Saccharomyces cerevisiae S288C: one gene and its partners. Changing the gene in region 4 together with the main gene of any one other region gives a genetic interaction. Each region holds a gene or a part of one and is shown on either strand. Other genes may lie near its edges.

Region 1 (3,239 bases), on a different chromosome or scaffold from region 4:
AGATCCAACACTATTCTCAGGGACGATTAAAACAAACCTAGACCCATATGATGAATTTAGTGACAGACAGATCTTTGAAGCTTTGAAACGTGTAAATCTAATTAGTGAAGAACAATTACAACAAGGCGCCACAAGAGAAACAAGCAATGAGGCTTCGTCGACTAACTCCGAAAATGTTAATAAATTCTTGGATTTAAGTAGTGAAATTAGCGAAGGTGGATCCAATTTGTCTCAAGGACAGCGCCAATTGATGTGCCTTGCTAGATCTTTACTGAGGAGTCCAAAGATCATATTGCTGGACGAAGCTACAGCGTCCATCGACTACAGTTCCGATGCGAAGATCCAAGAAACCATAAGAAAAGAGTTCCAAGGTAGTACAATTTTGACAATTGCACATAGGTTGAGATCTGTTATCGATTATGATAAAATTTTGGTGATGGATGCAGGTGAGGTAAAAGAGTATGATCACCCATATTCTTTGTTACTTAACAAACAAAGTGCCTTTTATAGCATGTGTGAGCATAGTGGAGAATTGGATATCCTAATTGAATTGGCTAAAAAAGCCTTTGTGGAAAAATTGAACTCTAAAAAGGACTAGCTGTTTCGATGCTAAAGTATATATATATATATATATATATATATATATATATATATGTATATACGCACACATGTTCACGTACTATAAATTACCTTTTGTAAATTCAACAGCCTCTTTTTCTGGAACTGGAAGAATCCGTTAACTTCAATATTCCAGTCGATGAAACGGTTTAGAATTGCAATTGACCTCAAAATCATTATGTTGCAGTTATCCACCAACTCGGGTAACTTCTTCAACTGTTTCGTTTCAATATTTGCGTCTTTGAAGGAAATCTGATCCAATGAACTTTTACTGATTTGGCAAAACTCCATATATTGGCTGTTTAGTTCGTCAAATGCACTATATAATGTATAAATATCGTCAAAGCAACTAGCAAAAATACAAATATCATCAGGAGCTCCCACGTTCTCGATGTCTTCAGCCATGAAAGTATTAAAGAGTTGCAGGAGATCTTGAGAATACTTTAGACCCTGGAAATATAGACGATGTAACTGATTGTATAGTTCATCTAATTGCACTGAAACATCGGAATTCGCGCTGTATCCGGCGCCTATAAGCCGCTCCAATCGGTCACACCTGTATTCTAAAGCTTCAACAAGCTTAAGACCAGGCATCAAACTTCCTTTGGTAGAGGCTAATGGCCTTGGAAGCTCGAGAGAACATTCTATAAGTTCATCAATCACTTATACTATATGCAGTACCTCTAAATTACCTAATATCCGGGTAATAAGAACAATATTCGGGTGACGCCGCCCCTGTTTGATGACAAAATTGGAAGAAAAAGAGGAAACAAGAAAAGACTGGTTAGCAACTACGTAAACTTCAGATTTCAAAACATACATAAACAAAAAACTAACAAAAGAAGATGTCTAGATCTGGGTATGCTAAATTTCATTTGTACTCCTGTGTAAACTATCAATTACTAACTAATTGACATGATGCTGTTTTATCTCGCTCTCTTATGTCCTTTCTTTCCTCCCTTTTTAACATGGAACTTTAAAAGGAATGTGGGGGAAAAAATTCATAAGAAGCCAGGAAAATGTGAAGTTTCTGTGTAGTGTTGCTGTTGCTGATGAATCCCTTACCGCTTTCAATGACTTGAAATTGGGTAAAAAATACAAATTTATTTTATTCGGATTGAACGATGCTAAAACCGAAATCGTTGTCAAGGAAACCTCTACTGACCCATCTTACGATGCCTTCTTAGAGAAATTGCCAGAAAACGACTGTCTTTACGCCATTTACGATTTTGAATACGAAATTAATGGTAATGAAGGTAAGAGATCCAAGATTGTTTTCTTCACTTGGTCTCCAGACACTGCTCCAGTCAGATCTAAGATGGTCTATGCATCCTCCAAGGATGCCTTAAGAAGAGCCTTAAACGGTGTCTCTACCGATGTTCAAGGTACTGATTTTTCCGAAGTTTCTTACGATTCTGTTTTGGAAAGAGTCAGCAGAGGCGCTGGTTCTCATTAAGGTAAATGATTTCACAAATGACAACAATCTTCAAGAAAAATGAAAATGTATATCTATATATAAAATCGTCATATATATACAGAATACATGTATAGAATTATTATAATTATAATTTTCTCTTCGCAACTCTATCTAAAACACAATACTTAGATTTAAGGTCCCGTACACCCCGGCTAGTGGGCATTGTTTTTGCACCCATATTTGTAATTCTAAATTCAGAACGGAAATACTGGCCATGTAGATCAAGAAAAGATACAAGGTCATCGAACCAGGCAGCAATGATTTTTCTATAATCTTCTAAAGTGAAGCATGACGACCATAGCTCGTTGAATATGCATAGAACGCTTCTGTTTTTAACGTGGCTGATATCTTTAACAAAGGCTTTTAATATAAAATTACCACACACTGAAAAAAAAGACCATTTGGAATCCAACGCTGTGCTGGCATGCGCATCCTATATAAATACTCTGAAGTGGTCATTTGATAGCTCCGTCGTACCGGGTTTCTATTCTACCATATGCTCTTATTCACCAGCGTTTGATACTTGGTCACTTTGTATCTTCAATTCGCTTACAGACCAGATTATTCCCATGGACAACACAAGTTTCGAAGAAAGCTTGGGTAACGTACGAAAAACGTGCTCGTTTGTCGATAAAAAGTTTAGCAATATTTCACTGGAGCAATACTACTCATCTTTAAATAATGCTTCTTCTCACGCTTTGGAAGACTATGGTTCTATTGAAAGTTTATCGACATCCATTCGAGTCGATCGTGAGACAAGATCTAGATGGATACGAGCTTTTCATGCGCATGCCTATAATTTAGATATCAGCAGTGTTTATGGTGCATATTTAACTTACTACTTCGTCATAGTGGGTATTATCGCCGTCTTCTTCCATATGAGTCACTATAACGGCCTGAATCGAGCGCTATTTGCAAGCCGGTTCGTCAATTATATTCGGGGCCATTTTGTGTTGCCTACGTTTTTAGTAGATAAGCACGCTAATCACTTCAAGTTTCTAAACGTGGAAGTCTTTACGGGACTGATGCCGAATTCCTTGGAGGCATGGATCATTTTTGGATACACATTGGCGAACATCATATTTTTGTCCATAAGTTACATCATAGACCCATATAACCTCATTTTCAACAGTCACCTGTCGCA
Region 2 (4,541 bases), on a different chromosome or scaffold from region 4:
TTATGGGCCTTATCATTGGCACATGCTCAATTGTCTAGTGTTTTATGGACAATGACAATTCAAATTGCCTTTGGATTTAGAGGATTTGTGGGTGTGTTTATGACGGTTGCACTTTTTGCCATGTGGTTCGCACTAACATGTGCAGTTCTTGTTTTGATGGAAGGTACATCTGCCATGCTTCATTCCTTACGTTTGCACTGGGTTGAATCTATGTCCAAGTTTTTCGTGGGTGAAGGTTTACCATACGAACCATTCGCATTTGAGTATAAAGACATGGAAGTCGCTGTTGCTAGTGCAAGCTCTTCCGCTTCAAGCTAAATTTTGAGGACTTTTAAAAAAAGCGAAACATTTAAGTACTTCATTAAATAATAAATGATGCTACTATATAGTGAGTAAACCTTATTATATACTATCAATGCTAATTCAATAAAGTATTTAAAGTATCAACCAATGCTTAAAAAGAGTCAAAAAAAAGGGAAAAAGAAATAGGAAAGCCAAACTTATCTCATGAAAACGTTAGACTTGCAATCCAATCCACCAGTGACCATCATTTGCCTTGGGGTAACGTTAGAATCGAAATCCACATCCAGGTCTAAACAGTTGACAAATCCTGTATGCAACTTTTCCCAAACGTGTAAGCACTGCCCCGTGTTCAGATCCCAACATCTGACAGATTTATCATCAGCACAAGAAAACAAGTATTGGCCTCGAATACTAATATCTCTAACCCACGAAAGATGCCCCTTCAACGTAAGAACACATCTGAAATTTGAATCTGTAGGATTCGGTATGGGTGCTCTATGGGCCATTAACGTAGGTAGAGGTATCTCCCAGATTTTTATCGTTCTATCTCTTGACGCTGAGACACAATATTGCATCCCCCAATTCTTATATCGATCCGTTGATGGTGTTCTAAACCTTATCTCCGGAGAGTCTTCGATGAAATGAATAAATTTAACTTTCTCTATGGGAAATTCATGACCCGTGCCAACACTAAGACCATTACCTGATGGCCAATGTGTTAACCTTAATGTAGTGTCATGTGAACCAGAGATGATGTAATCGCCTAGAACGTCTATGGAACGAACCCATTGGGAATGAGGCTGAAATGTTTTCAACGACCAACCATTGTGGAAGTCCCAAATTTTAACAGTTTGATCTCTGGAACAGGACGCTATATGGACATCATTATTTTTCTGCCAGATTTTTACCGCAGAGACAATATGCTCATGGCCCAATAAAGACCTAATTTGTTGGAACTTGCATTCCTCGGAGACCCACTTGAAAACATGAATCTGCAAATCTTTAGACGCGGTAACGATCACCAAATAGTTCTTCTTGCTGGAGTTCGTATAATTGGTAAATAAAACATCCATGGAGGTAATTGCCTTGGTATGACTTTGCAAGGATGCCAGAGGGATGGTGTAGTTAAATAAATCAAATGCGTATAATTTGCCATGATCTGTGGCCACAAACACTATAGGCAAATTGGGATGTAGTTTGACGGAAGTGACAGATGATTCAACATTAATTAAACAGCTTGGTAGATTTCTCGGTATCCATTTCAAAACATTATGTGCGCTGGTGCCGTTACTGGTGGTAGGTTTGAATTGTGCTAGTTCTGACACTTGAGTGTTCAAATCTTTAATCTGAGATACAAGGGTCTCTGTATTCTGCTCCAATTCAATGATTTTTTTTTGTAGTCTAACAATTGAGTTCCACTTCTTCGGTAGCAGTAATTCATCAATGTCTACCATACTTTCGTTACTGGTGTCATTGTTACTGATGAATTCTTGCCGGTCCACTGATTCTTGCAACAGAAAACCTGATAGAGTTACAATTGCATGTCGAACACTTTCGTAATCTTGAGCATGCTCATGTCGTACAGTTTGTTTGTAATTCCAATTCAAATATCGGAGGACACTTTTATCGAGTTCATTTTTCTGTGTATCTGTTAAAGGAAGCTGTTGCTGCCAGTTAGTCATTTCTATTTTTTTCTACACTTACGCACGCACAGGTGTATACCAACAACCGGACGACGAACCTAGCTGCTTTATCAATGGCTATCTGGGCGACGATGGCCCAATACTAAGATTACCTATTACGTTTACACTCGCCAAAAATAAGAAACAAGTGCAATATGCACGACTTGCAAGCTGAAAATATTTCAAAACACCCACATCCCACAGCACAAAACCAGTGCAAATTCCATAAAGGGAAGTGAATTAAATTCAATGGTAGATGAAAGCACTTTTTCAGGAACCGTTTTAAGATCTAATTGTAGTTTACCAAGATATACTAAAACGTCGTTACTCGTTTTATTTACCTACCATTAGCTAACCGTTGCCATGGCTACCGTCCGGGTCGCCAGCGGCTGCTACTGCAAAAGTTGACAACGAAAAAGAGAAAAAAAAAATTCTCGGCACGCAAGACCTGAATGGTTTTTGTTTTCCCCTTCCCATTTTTTTCTTATGGTTTTTCCAGTTTTCTAGAAGCCGGAAAAAAGGCAAGCTACAAAATGTACTACGCGGAGCCAGAATTAAAAACCACGCGGACGGGACGGGCCGTGGCTTGTGACGCCGGATCCCCGCGTATAATCCGTGTCACGCTAAAGGACAAAATCGGTTTATCCGAGCGGTTTACGGGAAGGGTCTTTTGCTATCTCGCAGTAGCGTGTGCCTGGTTATCCCAATACTACCACCACACCTGTGCTTTTTTTATCTTGTACGTGCATGTATGCGTATGTTTTCTTTTTTTCCGTTGGTGCTTATTCGCTACCGTCTCGTTGATCCATGAATCACAAACACAAGCCGGTTCTGCTTACTATACAAAATAGTCTTGTGTCTTGATTCATATATCCGTCAATAACGTAGCCTTTCTTTATTTTCCTTTCGCTCACCATACTCTTGCATTAGTGTATTTTGTCTTTTATATCGCCAATAAGTGCCCAACTCTTCTACCTGACCCCTACGTCGTCGCCGCCCCTTTTCTTTTTCTTCGCCTAGTTCTATTTGGCTATATATTTCAGAGTGACAAATCTTTAAGAGAGACAAACTGAGAATTAGCATATAGAATCATTCATACAACTGTTTACAAACAAGTAAGCCCAAGACAGTTCCCAACCGCTTAAAGAAGTTTTTCCTAGAGGGAGCAAAGTTCGTTTACATTTCACACACACAGTTTTTTTTCACTTTTTTGGGCCTCTTCCTTTTCCCGTTTTTTTCAAAAAGCTTAGAAATCTTCTTCACCTCCTATTTTTCTAGAATCGTGAAGAATTTCCAGATTTAACAGTTTTCCACTTTTTCAATAAGGAAATAGTAGGAATAATAAAAAAAGGATAGTAGTAACGATATACGTCGACTTTCCAGACTGGTCTCGAGCCGGAATTAAATACAATAGCAGCGTTTGACTACCACATTGTAGCTCCGCTAGAATTGATCGAAAACAAAAATAATAACACTAATAATTATAATAATACGGTAGAACTATTTCTCGTATAAAGATGCCTAATCTATTGTCGAGAAACCCATTCCATGGTCATCATAATGACCATCATCATGACCGTGAAAATTCGTCTAATAACCCGCCACAGTTGATCAGAAGTTCTAAATCTTTCTTAAACTTCATTGGTAGAAAACAAAGTAATGACTCACTAAGAAGCGAGAAATCTACAGATTCCATGAAATCTACCACAACCACTACAAATTATACTACAACAAACCTTAATAACAACACCCATAGCCATTCTAATGCAACCAGTATCTCAACAAACAACTACAATAATAACTATGAAACAAACCACCACCATAATATTTCTCATGGGCTCCATGACTATACTTCTCCCGCCTCTCCAAAACAAACCCACTCCATGGCAGAATTGAAAAGGTTTTTCAGACCTTCTGTAAATAAAAAACTATCTATGTCTCAACTTCGTTCCAAGAAACATAGCACCCATTCCCCCCCACCTTCAAAATCAACTTCTACAGTTAATTTAAATAATCACTATCGTGCCCAGCATCCTCATGGCTTTACAGACCACTATGCTCATACCCAGTCTGCTATACCGCCAAGTACCGATTCTATCCTATCTTTGTCCAATAATATTAATATATATCACGATGATTGTATTCTGGCTCAAAAATACGGGAAATTGGGTAAGTTATTGGGTTCCGGTGCCGGTGGGTCCGTTAAAGTTCTTGTGAGACCAACTGATGGTGCTACTTTTGCCGTCAAAGAATTCAGACCAAGGAAACCGAATGAGAGTGTGAAAGAATATGCCAAGAAGTGCACCGCAGAATTTTGTATTGGTTCGACTTTACATCACCCAAATGTTATCGAAACTGTTGACGTTTTCTCTGATTCTAAACAAAATAAATACTATGAAGTTATGGAGTACTGTCCGATTGATTTTTTTGCTGTTGTTATGACAGGCAAGATGTCTCGTGGCGAGATCAACTGTTGCTTGAAGCAATTGACTGAAGGTGTTAAATATTTACATTCTATGGGATTGGCACATAGAGATTTGAAATTGGATAATTGTG
Region 3 (5,750 bases), on a different chromosome or scaffold from region 4:
ACATAGAAATTGATTATATTGACTATCATGACTGCGCTGCTGATATTAATGATGAAGTCAGGAGTATTTCTTCGAGCGGCCGAGTTTCAGAACTGGGAGATAATTCCATGTTATCAGATGGAAATCCCCAACCTACGGAGCCCAATGAGAACACAGCCCTTCTAAGTAAGAAATCTACCTTGAGAAACCATCACCCACCAAAAACAAGTGATATACCTGACATCAATGCTGATGACGAGATAGATTTTACATATGCTTTTAGCAGATCCAAATCAAGGAAAAATACTGCACAAGGAACTCTAACTACACATTCTTCGTTTAACGGATCGAGCGTTTTCAGACAACCAAAGATCATTGAGCCACCTGCCCAAGATCCTTGTTTAGAGGCGGCGCCTAAAAAGATCAGAATTCCCGCAGGTGTTAAAGTGTTCTTTGGCAGGCCTACACTTGGAGATAAGGATTATGAATGGTGTCTGCAAACCGAATGTGATGCAGAGACGGATTCTATTCAATGTTGCAGGTGGGCGAATCAAGGCAGAGACCATGCTGAATATTTGTCACAAGTATGGGTTCTCGCTGCAGGCCCTAGAGGCTTAATTGAAAGCACCAAAAGATGGGCGACAGATGGTGGTTTACACTTTCACGGAGAAAGTTTTGCATTATAAGAGTTGCAAGTTGGCTATTAGTTTATGAGGCTTGGAAAATTCACGTATTTGATGGTGGCATATCTATAATGTCCCGTTTTGCTCTTTAATCTTACTGTCAAAAAAGGGCCCTATGTACGATCTTTTCTAACTGATTTTTTCCGAGAAAAGTTCCGCAGGCTGATTTAGTTTTTTTCTGGTGGTTGTCAAGCCTCTCTCCACTTGGTGATAGTTGCGAAAAATGACAGCGGATATTAATGGATATTAGCGGGAATAAGCACATTTCCATATTGATTATTTGTATGTCTAGCAACTTATAAGATGAATTATAAAAGGCATATAAGTTCTTCTTGGTACTGAATACATGACACTCTCACTACTGTACTAGAGACTTATTGTCGATAAAAGAACTCAACTGCCTCAATAGGAATTTTTTTACTAAAGCAATCACTGATTATGAAGGTTTTTATGCATACAATCCTCACAAAGGTGCAGCGATTGCATTTGTCGTTCTGTTTGGCATTTTAATCCTTTCTGCCTTGGTGCAGATCATAATGGCAACACACACGAGCAAGAGACGTATTCATCGCTGGGAAAACAATGAGTTGTCAGAGGAAAATTCCACAATAATATACTTTCCTGCCCGCGGTTTGATGTGGACACATTTTCCTTTCGTTTTAGGGATTTGTTTAGAGTTCGTGGGTTATGTGTTGAAAATAGTCTTTATCAATAGCCCCTCGATTTCGACTTTCATTGCTCAATCGGTGCTTCTATTGATAGCACCTTCACTTTACGCCCTTAGTATTTTTATGTTGTTCAGCAAAATGGCACGTCTAATTCTTATGGAGGCATATATGTTAATTCCTGCGAAATTTAGTACAGTTTCTTTCGTAGTGGCAGATATGATTGGGCGTGTCCTACAGGCTGTAGGAGGTGGGTTGTTATCCTCATGGAACAGCAGGAATACTGGGCGTATCCTAATTATTGTGGGTCTTTTCATTCAGATATTTTGTTATACCTTTTTAACGTTCAGTCAACTTTTTCTTCACTATAAAATGAAGGCAACGCCTAGTAAAATTGTGCGGGATAGTAATGAATGGTTCCAGTACAATTTTATACTTTTAGCTGGGATATTGCTGGTTAATGGTAGAACCATTGTCAGAGTAGTACAATTTCTAATGGGCTTACAAAGCTATATAGGTCAGCACGAATGGTGCCTTTACGTTTTCGATACAGTTCTAATGTTTTTACTACCTTTGATTTTCCTAGCAACCTTTCGCGCAAGAAATTTGTTCAAGCTGCAGGATAAATCTGTCAATATTCAATTAAACAAATTATTAGACAAGGAATCTGTGTCTGAAGATTAAGTAGTCAAAAATTTATTAATTAAATAGTTGGATAATATTTGTGCTGGGCATTAGAAGTCAATCTTGTCTTTTCCTTTATATGGTGCAAAGATTATCATGGTTAACGAATCTATTTTTTTTCGTGTCGTTTTTGTTTTTGTTTTTGTTTTTGTTTTGTCTGCTTGACACTCCATAGGAAGAGTAAATGAAGAACCTACCAGACCTAGGGACCAAATAGCATTACTAAACTACAAAGAAACAGCTATCTTTACAGTGTAAAGTATTTTTGAGTTTTTATTAAAGAGTTTGAAGTTGACTATGTCAGGAGAAGAAGAAGTAGATTATACAACGTTACCCCTAGAAGAGCGATTAACGTACAAGTTATGGAAGGCACGTTTAGAAGCTTATAAGGAGTTAAACCAGCTTTTTAGAAACTCCGTTGGCGACATCAGTAGGGATGACAACATACAAATTTACTGGAGGGATCCTACATTATTTGCACAATATATAACTGATTCTAATGTGGTCGCTCAAGAACAAGCCATTGTTGCCTTGAATAGTTTAATAGATGCCTTTGCGTCATCGTCTTTGAAAAATGCACATAATATTACTTTAATATCAACATGGACACCATTGCTTGTGGAAAAGGGCTTAACGTCCTCAAGGGCTACAACGAAGACGCAGTCGATGAGCTGTATACTCTCACTATGTGGTCTTGATACATCTATTACGCAATCGGTGGAATTGGTAATACCCTTTTTCGAGAAAAAACTGCCAAAATTAATTGCTGCGGCAGCCAATTGTGTTTATGAGTTGATGGCTGCATTCGGGCTCACTAATGTGAACGTTCAAACGTTTCTACCAGAATTATTAAAGCACGTACCTCAACTAGCCGGTCATGGTGATAGAAACGTTCGATCACAAACGATGAATTTGATTGTCGAGATCTATAAGGTTACGGGCAACAATAGCGACTTGTTAGAGGAGATACTGTTTAAAAAATTAAAACCAATTCAAGTGAAAGATCTTCATAAATTGTTTGCAAAAGTTGGTGACGAGCCATCGTCATCGAAAATGTTATTCGAGTGGGAGAAAAGAGAATTGGAAAAGAAAAGAAGCCAAGAGGAGGAAGCCAGGAAAAGAAAGTCCATATTATCGAATGATGAGGGGGAATATCAGATAGATAAGGATGGAGATACATTGATGGGGATGGAAACGGATATGCCACCATCAAAACAGCAAAGTGGAGTTCAAATAGACACCTTCAGTATGCTACCGGAGGAGACGATCCTCGATAAACTGCCTAAGGACTTCCAGGAAAGGATAACGTCGTCCAAATGGAAAGATAGAGTGGAAGCGCTGGAAGAATTTTGGGATAGTGTTCTATCGCAGACTAAGAAGTTAAAAAGCACCTCGCAAAATTATTCCAACTTATTGGGGATATATGGCCATATTATCCAGAAAGATGCAAACATTCAAGCTGTTGCACTAGCCGCTCAATCAGTAGAATTAATCTGCGACAAACTAAAAACACCAGGCTTTTCCAAGGATTATGTTTCACTAGTCTTCACTCCCTTGTTAGACAGGACAAAGGAAAAGAAACCTTCTGTGATAGAGGCCATTAGGAAGGCATTATTAACCATCTGCAAGTATTACGATCCATTAGCCTCCAGTGGACGCAATGAAGATATGTTGAAAGATATTTTGGAGCATATGAAGCACAAGACACCTCAAATCAGAATGGAGTGTACGCAATTGTTTAATGCAAGCATGAAAGAAGAAAAAGATGGATACTCGACCCTGCAAAGATACTTGAAGGATGAAGTGGTACCAATTGTGATTCAGATCGTCAACGACACCCAACCTGCTATAAGAACTATTGGATTTGAGAGTTTCGCCATTCTAATTAAAATATTTGGCATGAATACCTTTGTGAAAACATTAGAGCACTTGGATAATTTGAAAAGGAAAAAAATTGAAGAAACGGTCAAAACTCTACCTAATTTCAGTATTGCAAGTGGTAGTACCCATAGCACTATTGAAACGAATAAACAAACTGGGCCAATGGAGAATAAATTTCTCCTGAAAAAAAGTTCTGTACTTCCCTCCAAGAGAGTGGCATCTTCACCGCTGAGAAATGATAACAAAAGTAAAGTGAACCCAATAGGGTCAGTAGCCTCCGCATCAAAACCATCAATGGTAGCTGCTAACAATAAATCGAGGGTCCTGTTGACGTCTAAGTCTTTGGCAACGCCAAAAAACGTAGTAGCTAATAGCACTGACAAGAATGAAAAGTTGATTGAAGAATACAAGTACAGACTGCAAAAACTACAAAATGATGAGATGATATGGACCAAAGAAAGACAAAGCCTATTGGAAAAGATGAATAATACAGAAAATTATAAGATCGAAATGATTAAAGAAAACGAAATGCTAAGAGAGCAACTAAAGGAAGCGCAGTCTAAATTGAACGAAAAGAACATTCAATTAAGATCCAAGGAGATTGATGTCAATAAGCTGTCTGATAGAGTACTGTCACTAGAAAACGAGCTTAGAAACATGGAGATCGAATTGGATAGAAATAAGAAAAGAAATGATACAAACTTGCAATCGATGGGTACGATTTCATCATACTCCATACCTTCTTCCACCGTGTCAAGCAACTATGGGGTAAAATCTTTATCTTCCGCTTTGCCATTTAAGGAGGAGGAAGATGTCAGAAGGAAAGAGGACGTCAACTATGAAAGAAGATCAAGCGAGTCCATCGGCGACCTGCCGCACCGCGTAAACTCTCTTAACATACGGCCGTACAGAAAAAACGGCACTGGAGTGAGCAGTGTCTCCGACGATTTGGATATCGATTTCAACGATAGTTTTGCCTCAGAAGAAAGTTATAAACGTGCCGCTGCAGTGACATCTACCCTAAAGGCCAGAATTGAAAAAATGAAGGCCAAATCAAGGCGGGAAGGGACAACCAGGACGTAAAGGGTAGCCTCCCCATAACATAAACTCAATAAAATATATAGTCTTCAACTTGAAAAAGGAACAAGCTCATGCAAAGAGGTGGTACCCGCACGCCGAAATGCATGCAAGTAACCTATTCAAAGTAATATCTCATACATGTTTCATGAGGGTAACAACATGCGACTGGGTGAGCATATGTTCCGCTGATGTGATGTGCAAGATAAACAAGCAAGGCAGAAACTAACTTCTTCTTCATGTAATAAACACACCCCGCGTTTATTTACCTATCTCTAAACTTCAACACCTTATATCATAACTAATATTTCTTGAGATAAGCACACTGCACCCATACCTTCCTTAAAAACGTAGCTTCCAGTTTTTGGTGGTTCCGGCTTCCTTCCCGATTCCGCCCGCTAAACGCATATTTTTGTTGCCTGGTGGCATTTGCAAAATGCATAACCTATGCATTTAAAAGATTATGTATGCTCTTCTGACTTTTCGTGTGATGAGGCTCGTGGAAAAAATGAATAATTTATGAATTTGAGAACAATTTTGTGTTGTTACGGTATTTTACTATGGAATAATCAATCAATTGAGGATTTTATGCAAATATCGTTTGAATATTTTTCCGACCCTTTGAGTACTTTTCTTCATAATTGCATAATATTGTCCGCTGCCCCTTTTTCTGTTAGACGGTGTCTTGATCTACTTGCTATCGTTCAACACCACCTTATTTTCTAACTATTTTTTTTTTAGCTCATTTGAATCAGCTTATGGTGATGGCACATTTTTGCAT
Region 4 (5,494 bases):
CAGTGGTCTGGTCATCAGTACTATAGTTCGCGTTGAAGGCAACAAAGGCATTTTCCATGATAAATTTTGACATTATAGAAATATCGTAGTCCAAGTTCTCACTGACGCCCCCATTTACTTGGTTAGATTGTTGTGGTTGTTGTTGTCCATCCCGAATCATTTGAACAGGAGGAGGAATAACGTTGCTGTTATTGTTACTAGTGTACATTAGGCCCGGAGGGGGAAGGATAGGTGGTTGCTGGTGCTGTTGAAGTGGTGCAGGAGGAGCATAGTAAGTAGAACTTGGCTGATTGAAGTAACCTAAAGAAGCCATGGATGGCAACTGAGTATGAACTGATTGCGAGGGAACATGACCTAAATATTTAGGCAGTTGCCTAGCAACATTAACAGCAGAAGTAGCCGAACCTTTCGGAAAAGGCAAACTAATTGGATAACCACTAGAATTACCCATCGTTTCAGGATAATACTTGAAAGTATTAGCCATTTCTATATGAAGGGGGGTTTGTTGGGGGGAGGGGGGCTGAAGACGAATTAACTCAATAACTGTCTTAATAATGTTAAAGAAAAAAAAAATTCCTTGTAGTGTATAAGCTAAACGCTAATAAAGCTGGTTTAAATGTGTGAAACGAAGTCTCTTCGAATACTGTAAAATAACCCCACTGAATATACACAAACACACAGAAAAAGGATTAAAGTTAATAAAAAAAAACGACTCGAAGACTTAAAGGCAAACCTTCAAGTAATGCAGTCTCTGTAAAAACAACAGCAAACACAAATTTGCTAAATTTTGCTTAAAAGAGTCTCCTGAGAAACGTTTTCTTTTAATTTGGGTCAATAAAGGAAATTAACCCAGTAAAAGGCTTTAGAGAAAAAAAAAAGGAAGAAAAAACGAGAACGAGAATCTAGTATATGATCCTTGTGCGTTTTTCTTAAAAGATCAATGATTTGTGGTGCTTAGTTTCTTTTAGAATCTCTTAGAAAGTAGGTAATGTGTCTAATGACTAAAAGCAATTATTCACTTTGAACCTTTTCTCGTGCCAAATAAATTCAAAAAAAAGAAATTAAAGAAAAATTTTTCCCGTAACCCGGAATTAATCAACATAAATGCGTTTAATGCTGGCGGAAAGAAGTTATATTCGATAGTTTACGTAGGATATGTATGTTATTTCCTGGCAGTGGCCAGTAGACTTTGATGAGTAAGAAGGGAGGAGCGCATCTTCCTTCTTGGAACCGCTGTAGTCGGAGCGGAGGGGGTCGAGGGCCCCTGCTCATTGAATGTGGTATCTTGCATACTTACGTCCACTTCACTTGCAATGGCGTCTTGATCTTGGTGTAGTTCTGGTTCTAGCTCCGGTTGTGGTTCAATCATAGGGCTGGGACTAAGGTCGGGACTCGTCCACTTTACTTTTTTTTGGGAAAAATTTTGCCGTTGTAGGGTCTCAGCGGGAACAGCCAAGTCAGCTGCCGTCGTGTTTATTATATTTATATTTGTGTTTGTAAAATTGCTATCGGGATTGGCGATAAAAGTTCTGGCAAAAGATTCAAACTCCTCGTCGATATGAACCAGGTCTTGAATTATGGATTCAATGTTAGGTGTCCTATTCATCAGCCACTTTGATAGAAATTTAAATCGGGAGTTCAAACCCGGATCTGACATTAATTTTTCTGTCATTATGGAGGAATTAACCAAGATTTCGTTTCTTTGTAATTCTGATATTTGATTTAAACACGACTCCAAGTACACCAGGTCGTAAGTTTCATCCCAGTCCTCCATCTCTCTTAACTTGTTCAAGTCAATGGAATGTACCTGATGAATGACGGAACTCAGAGTGTCGGTTTCATCAAATTTCATTTCTAACTCGTGTATTTTGTTATAAAGCTGACCACTGATCATTCGGCAATTACTAATCACCGGCTGCATCTCGGCGGCTGTACTTTCCTCCCGTTCAAATAATAGTATCAAATTATCCACTTCTAGCTTGACCATTTGCAAAAACCGCCTTTTACAAAGTATTAATGATTTCAAGGTCTTGGCTACTTGATACGTTTCCACTCCTGCATACGTTTGCTGAACACGATTGACGCACTCGTTAATGGCTAACTGGATCTTTTCTTTGTTTAGTTTGTATTTCGTTAGCTTCAAAGAAATCATCTTCTCTTCACGTTCGCGTAACTCTTCGATTTGTCGCTTTTGTTCCGTAATCATTTTCAAATAAGATCCAACGTGTCTACTCAAAGACTGCTGATTTCTGATTATTTTGGTCTTTATTTCTTTAGCACGATTTGCATATTTCAAAGTATTCAATGTCTCATCATAATGTGAACTGCTGGGCGATATGCAAACAATCATGACTGTTTTGCAATTGCCACCCAGTGAAAATTTCAACAGCCTAGTTAACTTGGAATCCCTGTATGGAATATGACAGCTTCTGCTGCCATCATTCAAGCACAACGCGTTAATGCAATTGCCCAGTGCTAGTAGGGATCTATTTATATTCGCACCTTCGTGTAATCTTATACCACGGTTTCTTGTTGCGGCGGCTCTTTCGCTCCCAGCTAGATCGATTATTGAAAGTGTAGCAAATGTATGTTGCGAGGTCAAGTCTACAAGCTTATTTGTCTGCATGATGTGTATTTGCAGCACTGCATGAGATCGTGAAGATACTTCGTTTGCTTCCGTCGGTGACGTAGTCCTGTTTATGTTTCCCTGGACAACTAAGTCCATCACATCTTCTACCGTATTTGGGTGGTGATACGACAAATTCGCCACTTTGATGTGGTTCTGCGTATCTTCTCTAATGACCAATCTTTTAGATGGTGTCTCTGGTTTCAAAAGGTCTCTGATTCTTTCATTGTATATTTCCAAGTAAGACAGTGAAATCTCGAAGTCTTTTTCGTCCTTCAGGTCTGTAATTTTATTGAATAGTTCCTCCATGGCTAGAAATATGATCCCCGGCTGTGAAGGTGTGCCACTCACAGTATATGTCTTGCCACAACCAGTAGCACCGTAAGCAAATACGGTACTGTTGAATCCATCTAAAACAGAATCTAGGAGCGGGCTGGTGGTCTCTTTGTATACACGGGCTTGGGAAGAGGTTTCATCAAACAATTTATCAAATACAAACTTGATTTCGCCACCGTGCCTTCGACGTTGCGAAGAAAATTTGTTCGTAGCATTGCTGTTATTGATAGAGGACGCAGTGGCCTTAGTGGCCCTTGCACGCATCGAGTTCAGGACCTGATCACTCACTTTGTTCAATGGGTTTCTATCAGCTGGGTCGAATATGAGCATTCTATCATCCACACAATCCACAATTTTACGTATACCCTCCGGTCTAATTACTTTTCTCCTCAGCAAGCTATTTCTTTTGCTCCGCGTAGAACCTTCTTCAGCGTCTATGTCTATATCGGAGTCGGAGTTATTACTCATGGGTAATATTAACGACGAATCCCCCAAACCGGGAAAGTTAGCTTCTGCACCACTAGCTTCATTGACCAATCTTGTTTTTTCCATTGACGTAAAGGGCCTTACTCTTATAGCTACGACTATGGAGGATTGTCTTGTTTCAGGCACGTTCATGTTAGTGTCAATAGTATACAGCTGGAAAGAAAACTCAAGTAGTTAAAGAATGCAATGAAATGATAATCAGATAAACGATGCAATCAGGGAATATGAAAATTTTAATATAAAAAAAAAAAAAGAAAAATCAACAGCTTCGAAACACTGATCTGGACTTTTTTAACCTGCAGATATTTGTTACACGCAGATTATAAATTTTGTCTCTATAGGAACAGCTGAACACTATACTGGATACCGATGTTCTACCGACCAGACGTGAATGTATCTGGTCCTTTTGTATCCAAGGATAAGACAAACCAAACCCATACTAAAGTCATCAAACAAGGCATAATACAGGTAAAATAAACAAAACAAAAACTAAAAACACGGCTAGCTAAGGGAAAAAGTAGTAATGACCTAGGGTGAATAGCTTTTTTCAATTAGGTTTTTCCTTTTTTGTACTATATTAAATAGGGCTAAACTGTTTTAAGCATAGGGCAAAGAACTTATAAATTAGGTTTGAAAAAGGGCCATGAAGCCTTGTAGTAAAAAGAGACCAATTAGAAGAGTCATGGAAGATTCGTAAAACATAGAAACAGTAACAATTATAACAAAAAAAACACAACTGCAAGAAACTTCAGCATCGTCATGTCATTTAGATTCAACGAAGCTGTGTTTGGTGATAACTCTTTCAATGAACGAATACGGGAAAAGTTATCTACGGCTTTGAACTCACCGTCTAAAAAGAAATTAGATATCTTGAAAAGCGGAATTAAGGTACAGAAGGTGGATTTTCCTACAATACCACAGCTAGAAATTCTGGACCTAGACATTATCACGCAGCCCAAGTCTCTGGCCAAGGGGATTTGCAAGATTTCATGTAAGGATGCTATGTTGCGGATACAGACAGTCATAGAGTCGAATCTTTTATTGATTAACGAACAGGATACACCCAGCTTTACCATGCCCCAGCTCATCAATAATGGATCGTTCACAATTCCTATAACTATGACGTTCAGTTCCATCGAGCTAGAAGCCATCACGAATATTTTTGTAAAGAACCCTGGAATTGGGATATCCTTTAATGACGTTGATTTGGATTTTAAGTTTGATTGTTCTGTAAAAATTCTCCAAAGCACCATTGAGAGAAGGCTAAAAGAGTCCATGCATGTAGTGTTCAAGGATGTTCTTCCTTCTTTGATCTTCAACACGTCACAGAACTGGTTCACCAATCGCGGCGAGAGCACCAGTACCATCCCTGGTAAAAGAGAGCATCATCATCAACAAACTACAATGTCTAGGAATGTAATCTTGGACGGATCAGATTTTCAAGAGCTTTCTCCAATAAACATGCTACGTCTTTCAAGCATTGTGTCGTCGAGGTCAACACTGTCACTACATTCCACTGTGATGAATTCTCTTTCCGCTATACCTGGTTGCTTGGAAAGACAAAACTTGTACAGATTTATATCAAGGATGCCCTCTTTAAACAATTACTACTCTTCGCAATCATTTCCACAACCAAAGTCATCAACCGTATCATCAAAACAATTGGTAAAGCCATTCTACTGTTCCCACAATCTATTACCTAAAACAGTGTTAGATTCCAGCCAGTACGATTTGGCTACGATAACCAAGATTCAGTCTCGACTTTTCGATAGGAGTAACAGCAACGACGACAATGCCAAACCAAGGAGAAGAAAGATCAAATGCAAAAAGACCCGCACACCATCGAACCTACAATCACAAGGAGAACAGGCTGTTGATGATAGTACTGCTATTGAAACAGTTACGTCCACACCGGTCCAAACACCGATACCCGAGCTTGAAGAACAATCTCCCCCATATTTGAAAACAACAGTATCGATAAGGGATAAATACGTTATACCAGAAAAAATATCGCTAAATTTGGACTCCAAGAAAGATACATCTAAA

The links.
Region 1: mutations in KIP3 (region 4) and LDB18 together harm fitness more than expected from each alone (negative genetic interaction), as found in Saccharomyces cerevisiae (5 studies listed by BioGRID, with this or other methods).
Region 2: mutations in KIP3 (region 4) and PAC1 together harm fitness more than expected from each alone (negative genetic interaction), as found in Saccharomyces cerevisiae (6 studies listed by BioGRID, with this or other methods).
Region 3: of KIP3 (region 4) and STU2, changing one enhances a phenotype caused by changing the other (phenotypic enhancement), as found in Saccharomyces cerevisiae (4 studies listed by BioGRID, with this or other methods).

What each region holds. Positions count from the first base shown.
Region 1 is NC_001144.5:38,639-41,877, reverse strand, and holds LDB18 (Ldb18p), read right to left. Parts: upstream 1,213-3,239; coding exon 673-1,212; downstream 1-672. Other genes in the region: bile acid-transporting ATPase YBT1, read left to right, coding at 1-598; COF1 (cofilin), read left to right, coding at 1,464-1,477, 1,657-2,074; FRE6 (putative ferric-chelate reductase), read left to right, coding at 2,407-3,239. UniProt on the Saccharomyces cerevisiae protein: May be involved in protein-linked oligosaccharide phosphorylation since the deletion reduces the negative charge of the cell surface.
Region 2 is NC_001147.6:823,829-828,369, reverse strand, and holds PAC1 (Pac1p), read right to left. Parts: upstream 1,986-4,541; coding exon 501-1,985; downstream 1-500. Other genes in the region: VPH1 (H(+)-transporting V0 sector ATPase subunit a), read left to right, coding at 1-318; YOR268C (uncharacterized protein), read left to right, coding at 2,438-2,836; putative serine/threonine protein kinase HRK1, read left to right, coding at 3,503-4,541.
Region 3 is NC_001144.5:234,262-240,011, reverse strand, and holds STU2 (Stu2p), read left to right. Parts: upstream 1-2,308; coding exon 2,309-4,975; downstream 4,976-5,750. Other genes in the region: FRE8 (putative ferric-chelate reductase), read left to right, coding at 1-665; YLR046C (uncharacterized protein), read left to right, coding at 1,199-2,011.
Region 4 is NC_001139.9:82,971-88,464, reverse strand, and holds KIP3 (tubulin-dependent ATPase KIP3), read right to left. Parts: upstream 3,581-5,494; coding exon 1,163-3,580; downstream 1-1,162. Other genes in the region: CLG1 (Clg1p), read right to left, coding at 1-484; ERMES complex subunit MDM34, read left to right, coding at 4,208-5,494.